2 linked regions of the Notamacropus eugenii genome follow. The protein of the gene in region 2 binds, or shares a complex with, the protein of the main gene of each other region. Links are inferred from orthologs where the notes say so. Each region holds a gene or a part of one and is shown on either strand. Other genes may lie near its edges.

Region 1 (7,462 bases), on a different chromosome or scaffold from region 2:
ACAAGTTGCTAGCAGTTATCCCAGAATCAAATAGGAAGCTACTTTCCTTCCCTATCAGCAGAGGCAGCCAAATGGAAAAAGGACTGACTCTGGAGTCACATAATGGCTGGGTGATCCTGGGCAAGTCCCTAAACCACTCAGTACTCTAGGCAATTCTCTAACACTTATGCTGAAAAAAAAAGTGCGGACTTGCATAAATAAAGGCCATTTCCTTATCCACAAATTCCCTCTACCAACTTAATTGCAAAATCACAAATTCAGACCTGTTCCTGATGTGTAATTTCATTTGTCAGTCACCTCTGCCTGAAAGGCCACAGGATTTGATACATCAAGACTGAAGTGTGTATTTCTGGCTTTTCTTGACAAGATCTAATTTATACAAGGCCAACCTTTCGATTCCCCACCCCACAAGTCTACTCAAGTATCATTTCTGTCAGACAGAATTTGTCATTCTGTCCCTTTCGCTACAGAGGAAAAACAAAAAACCATCATTAAGTTAGGCATTCAATGTATGACCTTGAATAAGTCATTTCACTCAGAGGTATCTTTTCCTTATCTGGAAAATGAGGGGTTTGTACTAGATAAAACCTTCAAGGTCTCTTCCAGCTCTATAGTTTAGGACTACCAAAGTTACGTCCAAAGGGAAATCCTTGAACATTGTTAGCTTAGAGACATTAAGTCGGGGTAAAAGGTATTCTTTTTCTTTTGTGCATCATTTCTTGCTAGGACAACCTGTATGAAATTCCAAATACTTTAAAGGCACAAAGCATGGTAGTTAAAAGCAAATAGGTACCAAATGGGTGAGGGGGTCTCACCAGTAGTGAGGTATGCATTTACAAAGTTATACTTATATCCGCAAACCCCTCAAACACAGGGTGGTGTAATTCCCCAAAATTCTCACTTTGATACAAAAAATGAAGATAGTGTGACTTAATTTAAAGGAAAAATAAAAATCTGAGGTTATTAATTTCTGCTTGGCACATCAATTTTTGGACAAACTGGTAACATTTAAAGAGGAAGAAAAAAGTACTGAACAAAATCTATCAACCAACAACTATTAAGTCTACTAGCTGCCAGGCTAACAAAAAAAAATTCCTACTTGCAAGGAGTTTACCTAAGTGGAAACCTGGTGGTGGATCTCCAAAGAAACTAAAACTTTCCTGATATTAAGAGCAACACTTCCTCCAAAAGACATCCATTTAAGAGGAAAAGGGAGAATGAGGTTAAGTTAAAAAAAAAGCTATTTTGAGGCTATGAAGAGGAACAGTTTATTGCATTCTCATTTTATTGTGAGCACAGGAATTGGTTTTAATTTTCTCCAACACCTAGCAGAAGGCCTGCTACATATACATAGCTGCTTAATAAATGCTTGGTGACTTGAGGGTTCAGTACTTTTCCAAAGGACATCCATTTGCGGAAAGAAAAAAAAAAGCAATGGATTAAAAGAACCACTTCCCTTCAAGCCTTTAATAATCATAGTTTCTTGTATCCCCTTTAGATTGTGGTCTCCTTGAGGACAGGAATTGCTTTTCTTAGTATCCCCAGCACCAAGCATGAGGCCAGATACACAGCAGATGCTTAATGAAGTCCTTGTTGACTTGAGAGTGCACTACTTTTTCCAAATGATATCTAGGTGGGGAAAAAAAAAAGTGGGCCAGCTCTGCTGGAGCAGTTTTCAATAATTACTTCAAGGCTAGAAATAATCCTAGTTTATCGCATCCTCCTTGGACTGAGCAGCGGAAGGCGGGAGTTGGTTTTCTGAGCATTTCCAGGGCCTGGCACATAGTAGGCACTTAATATATTAACACTGATTTGAAAGTGCAGTACTTTGCTCAGAGATGATATCCAAGAAAAAAAAAGTGGGCCAGCTCTGCTGGGGCGGTCCGAGATAACCTATTTCAAGGCTGGGGAGAATCCTAGCTCGCTGCACACAGGGAGGGCAGGGGCTGCTTGGGCCGAGCTCGGGGGCGACCTGGCTTGACCCGGGAACGTGGCGGGGTGGTCTCCCCCGGCGGGCAGGCCCCCAAGGAGGCCGCTTCCTGCCCGGCGGCAGGGAGGAAGGGCCCTTTAATCAATCGCCTCCCTCTCCCCGGGCTGCGGGTACAGAGCCGGACTAGGTGGGGCTCGCTCGGCCGCCTTCCTCCTACCACTTCCCGAAACAAATGCGAGTCGCGCCCCCCCATCCCTTCCCTGTCAGCCTCGCAGCCCCGAGGGAGGGGGCCGGGGAGTGGTTTCCCCCTGAACCTTCCCGCCCCCTCAAGCCCCCACCCCCACCCCCGGCTCCGCGGACGGCCCGTCCGGTCCAAGGACAACTTTTCTCGTTTCCGCTCGCTAACTTCCACCCACAGCCCGGGGTGGCGGCCCGGGGATCCCCGGCGGCGCGCGGGGGGGAGGCGGACACCCGCCCGCCCGCCCCGCGCCTGCCACGGGCAGCGGGAGTGGGAGCGCGTGCGGGTGCGCGAGCGAGTGTGCGAGGGGGCTCCTCAGGCTCGCACTTCCTCCGCCATGTTTCAGACATCTGACCCCTTCCGCAGGGAGAGCGCGGCTCGGCGGCGCCTCGTCCCTCCCCGGCTCCGGAGGGGGCCCCGCCACCTGCACGTCCCGCTCCGGCCCCGCCGCCCCGTCCGCGCCCCGCCCGGGCCTCCTCCCCGCCCCGCCGCCGGCCCCCCACTCACTCAGGGCGCTGCCACCGAGTCCCCCGGAGGGCCCCCTCCGCAGAGCCGGGCTCTCTCTCGGCGTCTCCGTCTCCGCTCTCCGGCTGCCAAGGCGGGTGGGTCGCCGGGCTGCCGCCTCCCTCCCTCCTCTTCCTCCTCTGCCACCGCCGCCGCCGCCGCCGCCGCCGCCGCCGCTCCGGCTCGTTCCACGCCTGACTCTGGGCGAGGTTTGGCTGGGTCGCCTTGACGTCAGGCGTTCAGCCTCGCTTTCGGTTCCTTCCGCTGGCGGAGAGGGAGGGCGTGGAGCACGGGAGGGGGCGGGGCCAGCGAGGGGAGGGACAAGGGAAACGAGGCAGAAGAGGCGGGGCGGAGCGGGGCGGGGCGGGGCGCCGACGAGCCTGACCTTTTCTCTCGCCTTCCTCCCTCCTCCCCCGCCCTCCTTCCTCCTTCCTCCCTCCTTCCCTCCCACGCCTCCGGGATTGAGGGAGGCTGAGTCTGATCCACGTGGAGCGCAAGTCCAGCTAGCAGAGAAGGTGAGAAGCCTTCAGTAAACTCCTACTGTGTGTGCTGAGTGCGAGGATGGGGCGTGCGGGACGACAGAAAGAAAAGCCAAAGTCACTCTCCACTTTCGGGGAGGTCACGGTCTAATACAAACGAGATGAGTGCAGGAGATATTGGAAATAATTAACAGTGGGAGGTCCCTAAAAAAATCAATAAACCTAATTACCTATAGCTAATAGCTGGGGAAGAAAAGGTAACAGACAGTCCCTGCTCACTGGGGGCTCATAGTCTAAGGAATCAGTCAACATGGATTAAGCACCTACTATGTGCCGGGCACCGTGTGTGCTAGCTGCTGGGGATAGAAAGGTAAAAGACATTTTTCCTCATGTGGAGTTCGCAGTCTAATAACAGAGACAATTACATACAAACAAGTCGTGCAAGAATATATTGGAAATAATTCGCATCAGAATTAAGGGGGAATCAGGAAGGGCTTTCGGTAGTAGGTGGGATTTTAGCAGAGACTTGGAAGGGAGACATGTGAGTGTGCCCACTTAAAGCGGGGAGAGATTCTCCACATCTGGGTCAAGTCAAAAATCACTTACTAGGTTCAGAGTGCAAGTGTGAAGGCCTGGAGATACAAAAACAAGAAAAAAACAAAAAGATAACCCTTGGCCCAGAAGGAGTATATATTCTAATGGAGAAAGGTAAGGTATGTAAGTAAGTTGCTAGTGAGATGGGGTAAGATCGTAGTTAAAATGCTGGAGAGTCCTTAAAATGAAGGCTTGGGTAGGTAACATCCTTTTTGTCTTAATGTTTTATCCCACATCAGCTCCTCACCTGGTCAACTACACTTCCAGATATATCCTCCCAGAAGTCTGTGGTGAATAAAAAACAGTCAATGCCTCCACTAGCCAAAGGAACATTAAGTTGCATTGATTTGGTTTTCTTGACTTTTGATTGTACTGGGTAAGGGAACTCCCTGTGAGGAAACTCCCTCCCTCAATGTAAATCGGATCCTGCTTTTCAATTTATAAATGTGTCAAGGTTACTGAGAAGTTATAGGAGTTGACCAGGGTCACACATTGTGCGTGAAATTTGGTAAATTCAAGCTATCCATGCATTTCTTGAACTCAAGGGAAGATGATATCTAAGACCAAGGAGATATTGAGAAGATGAGTTACCGCCAGAGTGGCTTTCTCAAACAAACTAGTCGGCAGGTGGTTTTCTACTTTACTTGATGAAGTATGTTATCATCCTCCACTGTCTTCTCACTGAATCTGAGTCAGAACAGACCTCAGAAGTGTTTTAGGAAAACTTACAAAAATACACTTGAAAATATGTAAAGTTACCTTTCTCACATCATTTGATTTTGAGCCCCACAGCAATCAGGTGAGCTAGGTATCAGGCATCATCCCCAGTTTACAGATGAAGACAATAAGGGTCAGAGAAGTGTCAGAGTTAGGATGTAAACCTAGCTCTTCTCAGGCAGCTTGGTGGTACAGTAAATAGATCACTGGGTTTAGAGTCAGGAAGACCTTAGTTTAAATTCAGACTCAGACACTTAAGGAGCTGTGTGACTGTGGTCAAGTCAATTAACCTGTTTCCTCATTTGTAAATTGGGGATAATGCTAGCATCTACCTTCCAGGGTGGTTGTGGGGATCAAATGAGATAGTATTTGTAAAGTGTTTGGCACAATGCCTAGCACATAGTAAACACAATATTGTTGTTGAGTTATTTCAGGCATGTCCTACTTTCCGTGACCCCATTTGATTTTTTTTTTGGCAAAGATATTGGAGTGATTTGCCACTTCCTTTTCTAGCTTATTTTACAGATAAGGAACTGAGGCAAACAGGGTTCAGTGATTTGCCCAGGGACACATAGCTAGTAAGTGTCTGTGATCACATTTGAACTCAGCTCCTCCTAATTCCTGGACTGGCGTCACCTAGCTGCTCACAGTTATTGTGGGGATTAAGTGAGATAATATTTGTAAGTGCTTACAACAGTGCCAGGTACATGTTAAGCACTATATAAATGTTAGCTATTATTATAGAGCGTGGGCCCAGACTAAGGAAGACGTGAATTCAAATCCATTTCAAACATTTAACTAGTTGTGCAACTCTGGTCAAGTCACTCTGTCTGTCACAGTTTCTTCATTTGTAAAATAGGAATGATAATAGCATCTTCTTCCCAGAGTTATTATGAAGATCAAATAAGATAGCATTTGTAAAGTCCTGGCATATAGCCTGCCTGCCTGCCTGCCTTCCTTCCTTCCTTCCTTCCTTCCTTCCTTCCTTCCTTCCTTCCTTCCTTCCTTCCCTCCTTCCCTATATGCTACCAACCATTATACCACAATCCAGTCTAGACCTGAGAAGGGTTCCCCACTACAACTGCCCTGACAAGTCCATCCAGACTGCCTGATGATCTCCTGGTCCATACACTTATAGGAACCTTTCTGTCGAGTTTCTTGTGCATGACAATCTCAGTGGCAATCAGCCAGTCCCCTGTAAGGTACCTACTGATATGGACAGATTACACATTTAACCCCACAGTTCCAGGCTGTCATTCTCAACTTTTTCCATAATTGTATATTCTACAACATGTAGATGCCAGCCAGACCCAGGAGCCTATTTAATTAGATCCAGAACATTTTGTTTATTGCTATTTGATCAAGTATTCACAAATACTTCATGTTTCTAAATACTAACCCGGGAGTGGAGATTTCCTTAAAGGTACAAGGTTATAAGGGAAAGATGCCCATGTGGAACATTTGTACATGTAGAATTTGAACTCTTAAATATAGATGTCTGCTACTTGTTGGATTAAGGGTATATCACAGTTCCTCTTTTCCAGGGGTTGATTCAATTTTTCCTACTAGGGTTAGAGGAATATTCCCCTATTGTTTTTTTCTTTTAGCTTATGGACTCTCCTGTTTATGGGAACTTGATATTTCTTCCTTTATAGAAATCCAAATCTTTCCCCAAATCTCTATCCGTTAATCACAGAGATAAAGACTAGAACCTGCCAGATTTTCTTTTCTAAAAAAGGAGAATGGAGGGGAGAGGGTGTAGGTGTAAAATAATAGCAATGAAATGACAATAATCCAAAGCAAAAGATTTTTCTGATTGTATATTCAACAGTTACATATCATAGTCCCCAAGTTCTCTAATGAAAGGAGAGAGTTACATTGTCTTATTTCTTATGGGCAACATTTTGTTATTGTAATTGAGCTTAGCACAAGGCCTGGTATAGTAAGTGCTATATAAATGTAATTTTAGTGATTTCCTTTATAAAGTATTCATTTCTTTATAAAGTGTTCAGTTTCATTCTACTGTGCCTTCAGTTTACTTTATCTTTGTTTTCCTGGTTCCGCTTAATTCTCCTATGTGCAAATTCATGTTTTCCCCATAGCAGCTAGTTTGGGGGGGGATTATTACTGGAACTTTTTTTAAGTGTAATTTTTAAGGTATTGGGGGGAAAGTGTATTATTGTGAATTTTCTGTAATTTTGGTTATATAAATGTGTGCATATGTATAGCTGACCACTCTAGCTTTTCTAATAGGAAACCTCTATTTTGAAGTAATTTATTTATTTTTCCCAAAAGAACACTTATAAAAAAAAATGTTGCCACTCGAATGAATGGAAACTTTCTGAAAGGCATTTGGGGCAATATTCCATATACTGAATTGTCACTTTTGATTCTTTGGTAACTAAAGCATTTCAGTCCTGTGGGAATTTGACAAAGAAAGTGTATTCTAAATACCCAACTGAAATATGCCCTTAGAGGAATAGAATTACTGATTCTTCAGACTTGAAGGAAACCTCGGAGTTCTTCTAGTCTGACTGGACCTTTGCAACACCCCCAACAGGTCATTCAACCTTTACTTGGAGGCTACAAATAAGTTTGACATAACCACAGAAAACTTCTCAAGTTACACTGTTTCTTTGAAGTTGTTTGCAGTAATTACCTTCTACACAAGTGTGACCCAGGAATGAGACAGTAAAAGTATTATCTGTCTTGGTTGAACTACAGTGGGACAAGAACCACATCTCTGTAACTTCACATGACTAATGCCATACCATCAACACCTATTTATTGAGTGCATATAAGCAAGGTGCAGTGTTGGGCATTTGGTAGTCTGATTATAAGTGGAAATATAGATCAACGAACACCTACTTTGTGCCTGGCACCATGCTAGGCACTGAGGATTGAGGGAAGAAATCATTGTGGAGAAGAGCTCACCCTCTTCATCACTTCCGCCAATTGCTGACCAGCTGTTACCAACATGTGGATTGGCACAGGAGCCCT
Region 2 (6,897 bases):
CTGGTCCAGACCCTGGTCCCGGCCCCGGGCCGGAGGCTGCCCGCGATCGGCTCTTCGGGGGTCGCCACGATGGACCTCCCAGGCCTGCAGGGGCATGGACACCAAGAAAGATGCAAACCCAGTGAGAGACAGAGAAGTAGAGACACGAACAGAGAGCGAGGAGGAGTGGGGACAGATAGAGCCACTGAGATCGAGGTGCAAAGTGAGGAGAGACACAAAAAGAGGCGACCCAGGGAGACTGGTCAAACAAACACGGAGACCCCAGGACGGAGAGGTTGGGTGGAGGGCGTGATGTGGGAGGGACAAAGACTCAGAGAACCCGGCACTAAGACAGAGACAGACCCAGGGAGACACTGGGAGTCCGGGACCGGGAGAGAGGAGACAGGATAGAGACTCAGAGAGCCCCTCACCCGGAGGGGACAAATGAGCAGAGAGTAGCAGGGAGAGGCTGCGGGTCCGGGACAGGACAGAGACCCAGAGAAAGAAAGGCTGGGGGTCTGGAATGGGAGGAGGACAGACAGGACTGAGACTCAGAAAACCCGACACTCCAAGAGAAGAAAAAAGCCCCTCCCACCTGCCGCCCCGCCCTCACCGTCCTCTTGGGCAGCGGCCGGACCCTCCTCCTCCAGTCTGCGCGCTTCCTCCCGGCCGCGCAGCTCGAAGCGCCGGCCCCAGCCAGGCCGCGGGCGCCACAGCTCCTGCACCAGCAGGGGGCGTTCCGAGTCGCCCAGGACCCGCACGTGCTCTGCCCGCCACTCCCCAGCTCCTCCGGAGGCCGCGGGTGGCCGGCCTAGAGCATCGCACAGCGCGAAAGCCTCGGCTCCTCCCCCAGAGACACCTTCGCCGCCGCCTCCAGGCAGCCCTCCGGTCGCCAGTCCGTAGCGCTCGAGGGCCTCGGCCACCAGTTCGCGGGCAGTGGAGCGGGGCGTGGCCAAGACGCTTTTATAATTGGTGCCCGAGGCGAGGCCGCAGCCGAAGATCTTCAGCACGCCCGGGGCAGGGCTGGGGCCGCCAAAGCCCGGGAGGCCCCACGAGGCCGTCTGAGGCTCGGGGCCCACAGCTCCAGCCAAGCCCGGGAGCTTCTTCTCGCTGGCCCAGCGTTGGGCCCCAGCCCCAGCCCCAGCACCGGGACCCGCCCCGCCCCCGGCAGCGCCCCCGCCCCCGGTCCCGGTCCCTGGGCCCCGAAACAGCTGGGAGATGCGCCGGGCCCGGCTCCCAGAGGCACCCCCTGCGGCCTTCACAGCCCCGACGCGACGCAGCTCCGGGCCTGAGTGACCTGAAGAGGTTGGCGCCGGGTCACTGCTGCGACTGCCCGTGTCCGAAGAGGAAGACCTGCGGATGCCAGGGATGCGCGGACCAGAGAGCCACAGAGACGTCAAGAGACAAACAGAGAGAGGCAGAACGAGCCGGGGGAGAGGAGACACGGCATCTCCCGACGTGACAGAGGCCCGGGAAGAAAGGGGGGGAGGGAGAGAGAGAGAGAGAGAGAGAGAGAGAGAGAGAGAGAGAGAGAGAGAGGAGAGAGAGAGAGAGAGAGAGAGAGAGAGAGAGAGAGTTAGAGAGAGAGAGAGAGAGAGAGAGAGAGAGAGAGGATGGACAGGTGGGAGAGGGAGACAGAGAGACAGGGAAACATGACAGACAGACGGAGGAAGGAAGAGAGAGGAGGAAAGGGAGACAAAGAGGCGGGGATAAGAAGGAGGGAGGGGAGAGAGAGACAGAAAAACAGAGAGACACAGAGAGACACAGAGAAACAGAGAGACAGAAAGAGAGAGAAAGCCGGCCGGAGGGAGAGAGAAAGAAAGACGGAGATGGACAGAGTGGGAGAGGGAGACGGACGGACAGAGAAGACAGGTGGAGGAAGGAAGAGAGGGGCAAAAGGGATCCGAAGAGGCGAGGAGAAGAGGGAGGGGGGAGAGAGGTACATAGAGACAAAGACAGAGAGAAACAGACACACACACACACACACACACACACACACACACACACACAGAAAGGAGAGAAGAAAAAGAGGGAGACTCATGAGACATGAAGAGTGGGAGCGGGGAGGACTAAGGGGGAATCAGACGCGCTAAAGCTTGGAGTTGGGTTTCTGGGGGCCCTGATACTTGGGAGAAGGGAAGATGCAGCCCCTTGATCTGTTAGAGGTAGGGTAATGGACTCCTGGGACCCAGAGAAGAAGGAGGTGGGGCTCCTAGGAGGGGCTCAAATCCCCCTGCAGTCTGGGTCTTTCGAAAGCCTGCAGGGACGTCTGAGGCAGGAAGGGGTGGGGTCTCAGATCTCTAACCACCTGGATCCCTGGAAGGCTGGCGAGGACGTAGGGGATATGGGAACCCTCAGTCGGGGCGGGGGGCTACCACTCACTTTACTGAGGCCGCGCTGGGCCAGCGGCGCCCCAGCTTCGCCAGCTGCTTCCGTGGGGAGTTGATCCAGAGGCCGGCGGGGAGATGGAGCTTCCCGAAGCGGGGGCTCCCGCTCTCCTTCCGCTCTCCTGACAGCATCTCCTGCGTGGATATAAGACCTTCTGGATTCTCAAGCGGGAGAGGGCATCGGGAGGGGACACCGCGGTTCCAGAGGGTCTAGAGGCCCTGTGCGCCAGGGACTCACCCTCCTCCCGAGGCCGCGGCCTGTGGCTCCCGAGGTGAGGCTTGGGTCCTGCTCCCGCCTGGATCCTTGTGCTCCTGGCTCTGGGTGGGAACAGGACAGGAAAAGGCAAGAGGAAGCCGGGCAGGAAGAGCGGGGAGGGGGCGTCCTGTCAGGGGAGGGGGGGGAGGGGAGCGAAGCCCGGCTAGGACGGGCACGACCTGGGCGTCCAGCGCCCCCCAGCGCTGGGCCCGTTCTCTGGTTCTTCAATTTCCTCCCCTTTGGGGACCCAGCCATCCAAGCCTAATACCATCTCCCTCAGGATCGAAAGTGACTGGATCCCTAATCCACTCTGGAACCCAGGCCCGCGCCCTTGAGCATCCAGGAGTCCCCTCCTAGACTTGAGCTGTTGGACTGAGTCACAGACGCAAAGAAAGAGGAGACATTTTTATTGACTGAAGGGTAGGGGGTGCCCCAGACCTCGGTACTCCAGGGCCGACGGCTCCATCCAGGAACACTGGCTGCTGGGATTCCCTTGGCATTACTTTCCCGCCCGGTTCAGGTCTAGGCCCGCTCTGCGGGCGCAATAGAGGCTGGAAGGGAGGCCGGAGAGAGTGAGGCAGACTGCGGCTGAAACCTTTCCCTTACCCGTGAACCCCATGCTGGTGGGGTAGCCTGTCGGGCCCTGCCCCTTCGACCCTATCCCCTCTCGGGTGGCGCCGCCCCATAGGCTTCCACCCCTCCAGCTCTGGCTTGGCCTGGGTGGTAACTACCGGGTCTGGCCGCGCCCAGTGCTCACGTCAGCGCCAGGCTCCCCAGCACTGCAGCCGCCCCACCAGCGACTAGCCCAATCAGGGTGATGTTAAGGATTCTGGCGGCATTCTGGCCTGAGTCCGCGAAGACATCTCCGTGCCCAGTGCACGGCCCGGATTCAGCCTCCAAGCCAGGCTCAGCCCCCAAGCCAGGCTCAGCCCCCAAGCCGGGCTCAGCCCCCAAGCCGGGCTCAGCCCCCAAGCCGGGCTCAGCCTCGGGCGGTAATTTTGTGGTCGGAGTCAACGTCTTCCTCGGAATCGAAGTCGAAGTCGTAGAGGACTCTTCTTCCCTATCGGACTCCTGGTCAACTGTGGGGCGGGGCTTGTGACCAGGGAAAGTCCAGTGACCGGTCGGTATGCTCGGACTCGGATGCACAATCGGATTCAGGTTTATACTTGTCTCAGTACTCGAACTGGGACTAAAATTGGGCCTTTGACCGTAATCGAAGTCGTCGAATTTTTCCTGCTCTTCAGGAATCACTGCGGGGAGGGGTCGGTGAGGAGGAGCCAGACCCAGGCCCCAGTTCACAGGCCCCGCCCCCAGGGGCTAGCCGCTAGCTCCTGCCCATTCAGGGTCCGCCCCTCACCACGCGTCCCACCCTATCCCCTGGAACCCTTCCTGAGACCCCACCCCCAGGTGTTAGCATGTAGGTGGGTCTGGGAGAAAGAAGGCTGACCCTTTACGTGATAGGTGATGACTGTGGCTGGGTTCTGCTCTCGGACGGTTCCCAAGACACAGCGATAGACCCCCGAGTCTTCCAAGGACACCATGGGCTTGGTCAGAGCGGCCTCTTGGCCGCTACTTATCAGGACTTCTGAGCCATTTGGCCAGACCTGGCCCCAGACCCCGGGGATGAACATGCAAGGGTCAGGTAGCTCTACCGCCAGACTGGGATCCTCAGCGGCGTGGGATGGCCGAGGGTTCTAGGATTCATACCGACGGCCAGGCACGACATGGGGCCCGGAAGCAGTGAGGTCACAAATGGGGGCCATGGGATCCCTGGATCACGCAGGGACCAAGAAGAGTCCGAGGGGGAAGGTTGCCCCGAAGGTAGTGCAGGCCCCACTCCCGGAGTCCGTGGGGCCCCTCAGGTATCTGGGAATAAGTACCCTGTAGAATGTGTAGTCGGTGAGCCCTTCTGCTGCTTTATGCCAACTCAGTTCGCAGTCCAAGACCATGTCCCCGTTCTCATGCACTCGCACGCTTTGTTCTGTAGATAGAAGTGACACATTAGTGTGACTTAGTCAGCCGCACCTTAGTGATGAGGTCCTACCCCAGCCTCTGACCTCCTCCCCAGCTTCCGACTTCGCTCACCACCGCAGTCGTAAGACTTTAGACAGGAGTGCACCTGCTTCTCACACCCATGACACCAGATGAGGGTCTGCATCATGAGGCCTGCGAGGGACGGCGGGAGGGGGGGAAAGGAGGGGGAGGGGTAAGGGCGAGGAACGGGGGAGGGGGCTGGGAGATGTCACCAAATCCTGAGGGGGCAAAGCCACAGGACCAGGCCCTGAGGGGCTGCAGAACTGAGGCTGGGAGGGGAGAGAAGGGTACTGAGGGCCAGGCGCTCACCGCATTTGTTGGGACAAAAACCTGTGGGGAAGAAGAGATCCGGGCTTTACCTAAGGGCCGACGAGTCTGTGCTTGGGTCCGCAAAAGACCCTGTACTTTGGGAACGAAGGGCCTATATCCTCGGGGGGAGGGGAGGGTACCTCAGAGGAAGCTTCCAATTCCCTGAGGACACTGGAGTCCCGAGATCGTGGAGGGAGTGCGGCTAGGGACCAGAGCCCTGAGCCCCTGAAAGAGGCTCAGGCTCAGGGCAAAAGGCGCTGGGGTCTCCGATGGGGCGAGGGCAAAGGGCACAAGGTTCCCCAAATGAAGTGTTGCAAAGGTCATAGGGCTCCCCGAGCGGAAGGGGGGAAATGGAGAGGGATTTCTCGAATGAGCCGGGATCCCTGACGGTGCGGAAGCAAATAGCCTGAAACTCTGCTGGGGTCTTGGCAATAGGCTCAGGGCTTCGGGTGGGGGCAGAGAGAACGCCAGAGGGCTGCCCGAGGAGGGCCCGGCGGGGGAGCCAGACACTTCAGGGCTCTTCCTCACTTTCCCTCTGGAACTCCGTTACCAGGCGAGCTAAATTCTCCTTCTGCGTATGCAGCGTCCAGGTGAGCTCCTTCAAGAGGAAATTGTCTGCAGGGGGTAGGGGGCGCACGGTCTGTGAGTTTCCCTGGACTCCCCCTTCTCCGACCTGATACCTGGAGCCCCTAGCGAAAACCCACCTCTGAGATCGCTATCTCTGATTCGCCTCAGCTCCTTCAGGAAGACCCAGGACGCTTTGTTCAGCGTGGGCTCATCTGCAGAAAGGTGGTTAGGTCGGAATAGGCCCCCCGGCGTTCAGCCAGGCTGACCCAGACCTTCCCCTTGAACAGCGCCCCCACCCCATCGCCGTCCGCGGAGTGCGCTTGAGGGGCAGGCAGGTGCCCTGGCTCCTGGGGGCCGCTCTTCACCTATGACGCCCTGGTAGGAGTCCTCCCCAAAAGGCAGCTCGCTGAATTGGCGCACAGTCTCCTCCAGCCGGCTCTTTAAAGTCTGCAGAGCTTGGGGGTCCACTTCCATGTGGCTGGGTAGGTAGTTCTGCTCCAGCTCTCGTAGTCCCGCCACCACTGCGGGATCGCAGATTATGCATCCCCACGCTCGGCGCGAGCTCAACGTCAGGGCCAACACCACGAACCCCAGGGGGAACGCGGGGCGTAGGAGACTGCTCATGCTGGTGGAACTCATCACAGCCTGAGGGAATCCCCTACGAGGTTCCTCTGGGCGTGTCCCTAAAGGGAATGGTCACAAACCCTGAGCCTGTGAGTTCCAAGGGACCCTCAAACTCTGCCTGCCATTGAGACCTCAAAGTGAAGGGGCCCTGAAAATGTAAGGGGACCCCTAGGATGAGGAAAATCTCAAAGCATCCTGAAACTGAAGAGCCTCCAACTGAGGGGGTTCCCCTAAATATAAAGGGGACCCCCTCCTAAGCCTTTGATTGTGAAGTGACCCTCAAAGATAGAAAAGATTCCAAAGCACCATAAAACCGGAGGCTGGAGCGTCACTCGGGGGCTAGGGTTTACCACTCGCTTTATTTCTACCTAGCCCCTTATTTCCTCGGAGGGAAGGAAGGACTGGGAAAGGGTTAGCATTGTCGCTTCGTCCCAGAAGGCCAGCACCCACCTTGCAGGTGAGTCACTTTAACTACATTGCCCATAAGTCACCACGCCTCGGGGACGCGGTCGTTCGGTAAGGCCACCGCTTCCGAGACGCTGCTGGGAGCTGTAGTCCCACAGCAAACAGGAAAAGTGGGCGGGACGGGTATCCCAGGACCGTCTCCGTCTCCTTCTCCTCCCCGAGCTCCCGTAGACGATCTCTAAGCCCTTATCGGGCTCGGCGAGTGTGAGTCAAGTCAGGAGACTCCCATGTGGACAGCTGCCCTCTCCTCGGACCCCGGACGGCCCCCCATTCTCC

What was found.
Region 1: the proteins of RASIP1 (region 2) and RAP1B are in contact, whole or in part, in a crystal structure (PDB 5KHO), measured with the Homo sapiens proteins. The link is inferred for Notamacropus eugenii from reciprocal best matches to the Homo sapiens genes RASIP1 and RAP1B. Residues at the interface, in NP_060275.2 of Homo sapiens: Val147, Lys149, Ala156, Ser157, Gly158, Ala159, Asn160, Tyr161, Lys162, Ser163, Val164, Leu165, Glu181, Arg182; in NP_001010942.1 of Homo sapiens: Val24, Gln25, Asp33, Pro34, Thr35, Ile36, Glu37, Asp38, Ser39, Tyr40, Arg41, Glu54, Leu56, Phe64.

The regions. Positions count from the first base shown.
Region 1 is NC_092874.1:245,866,586-245,874,047, reverse strand, and holds the start of RAP1B (ras-related protein Rap-1b), read right to left. Parts: upstream 3,001-7,462; 5' UTR 2,676-3,000; intron 1-2,675. UniProt on the Homo sapiens protein: GTP-binding protein that possesses intrinsic GTPase activity. Contributes to the polarizing activity of KRIT1 and CDH5 in the establishment and maintenance of correct endothelial cell polarity and vascular lumen.
Region 2 is NC_092876.1:12,681,555-12,688,451, reverse strand, and holds the start of RASIP1 (ras-interacting protein 1), read right to left. Parts: upstream 3,015-6,897; 5' UTR 2,878-3,014; coding exon 2,605-2,877; intron 2,502-2,604; coding exon 2,362-2,501; intron 1,333-2,361; coding exon 593-1,332; intron 85-592; coding exon 1-84. Other genes in the region: IZUMO1 (izumo sperm-egg fusion protein 1), read right to left, coding at 3,122-3,173, 3,380-3,872, 4,070-4,226, 4,503-4,603, 4,708-4,788, 4,966-4,986, 5,494-5,580, 5,670-5,744 and 2 more. UniProt on the Homo sapiens protein: Required for the proper formation of vascular structures that develop via both vasculogenesis and angiogenesis.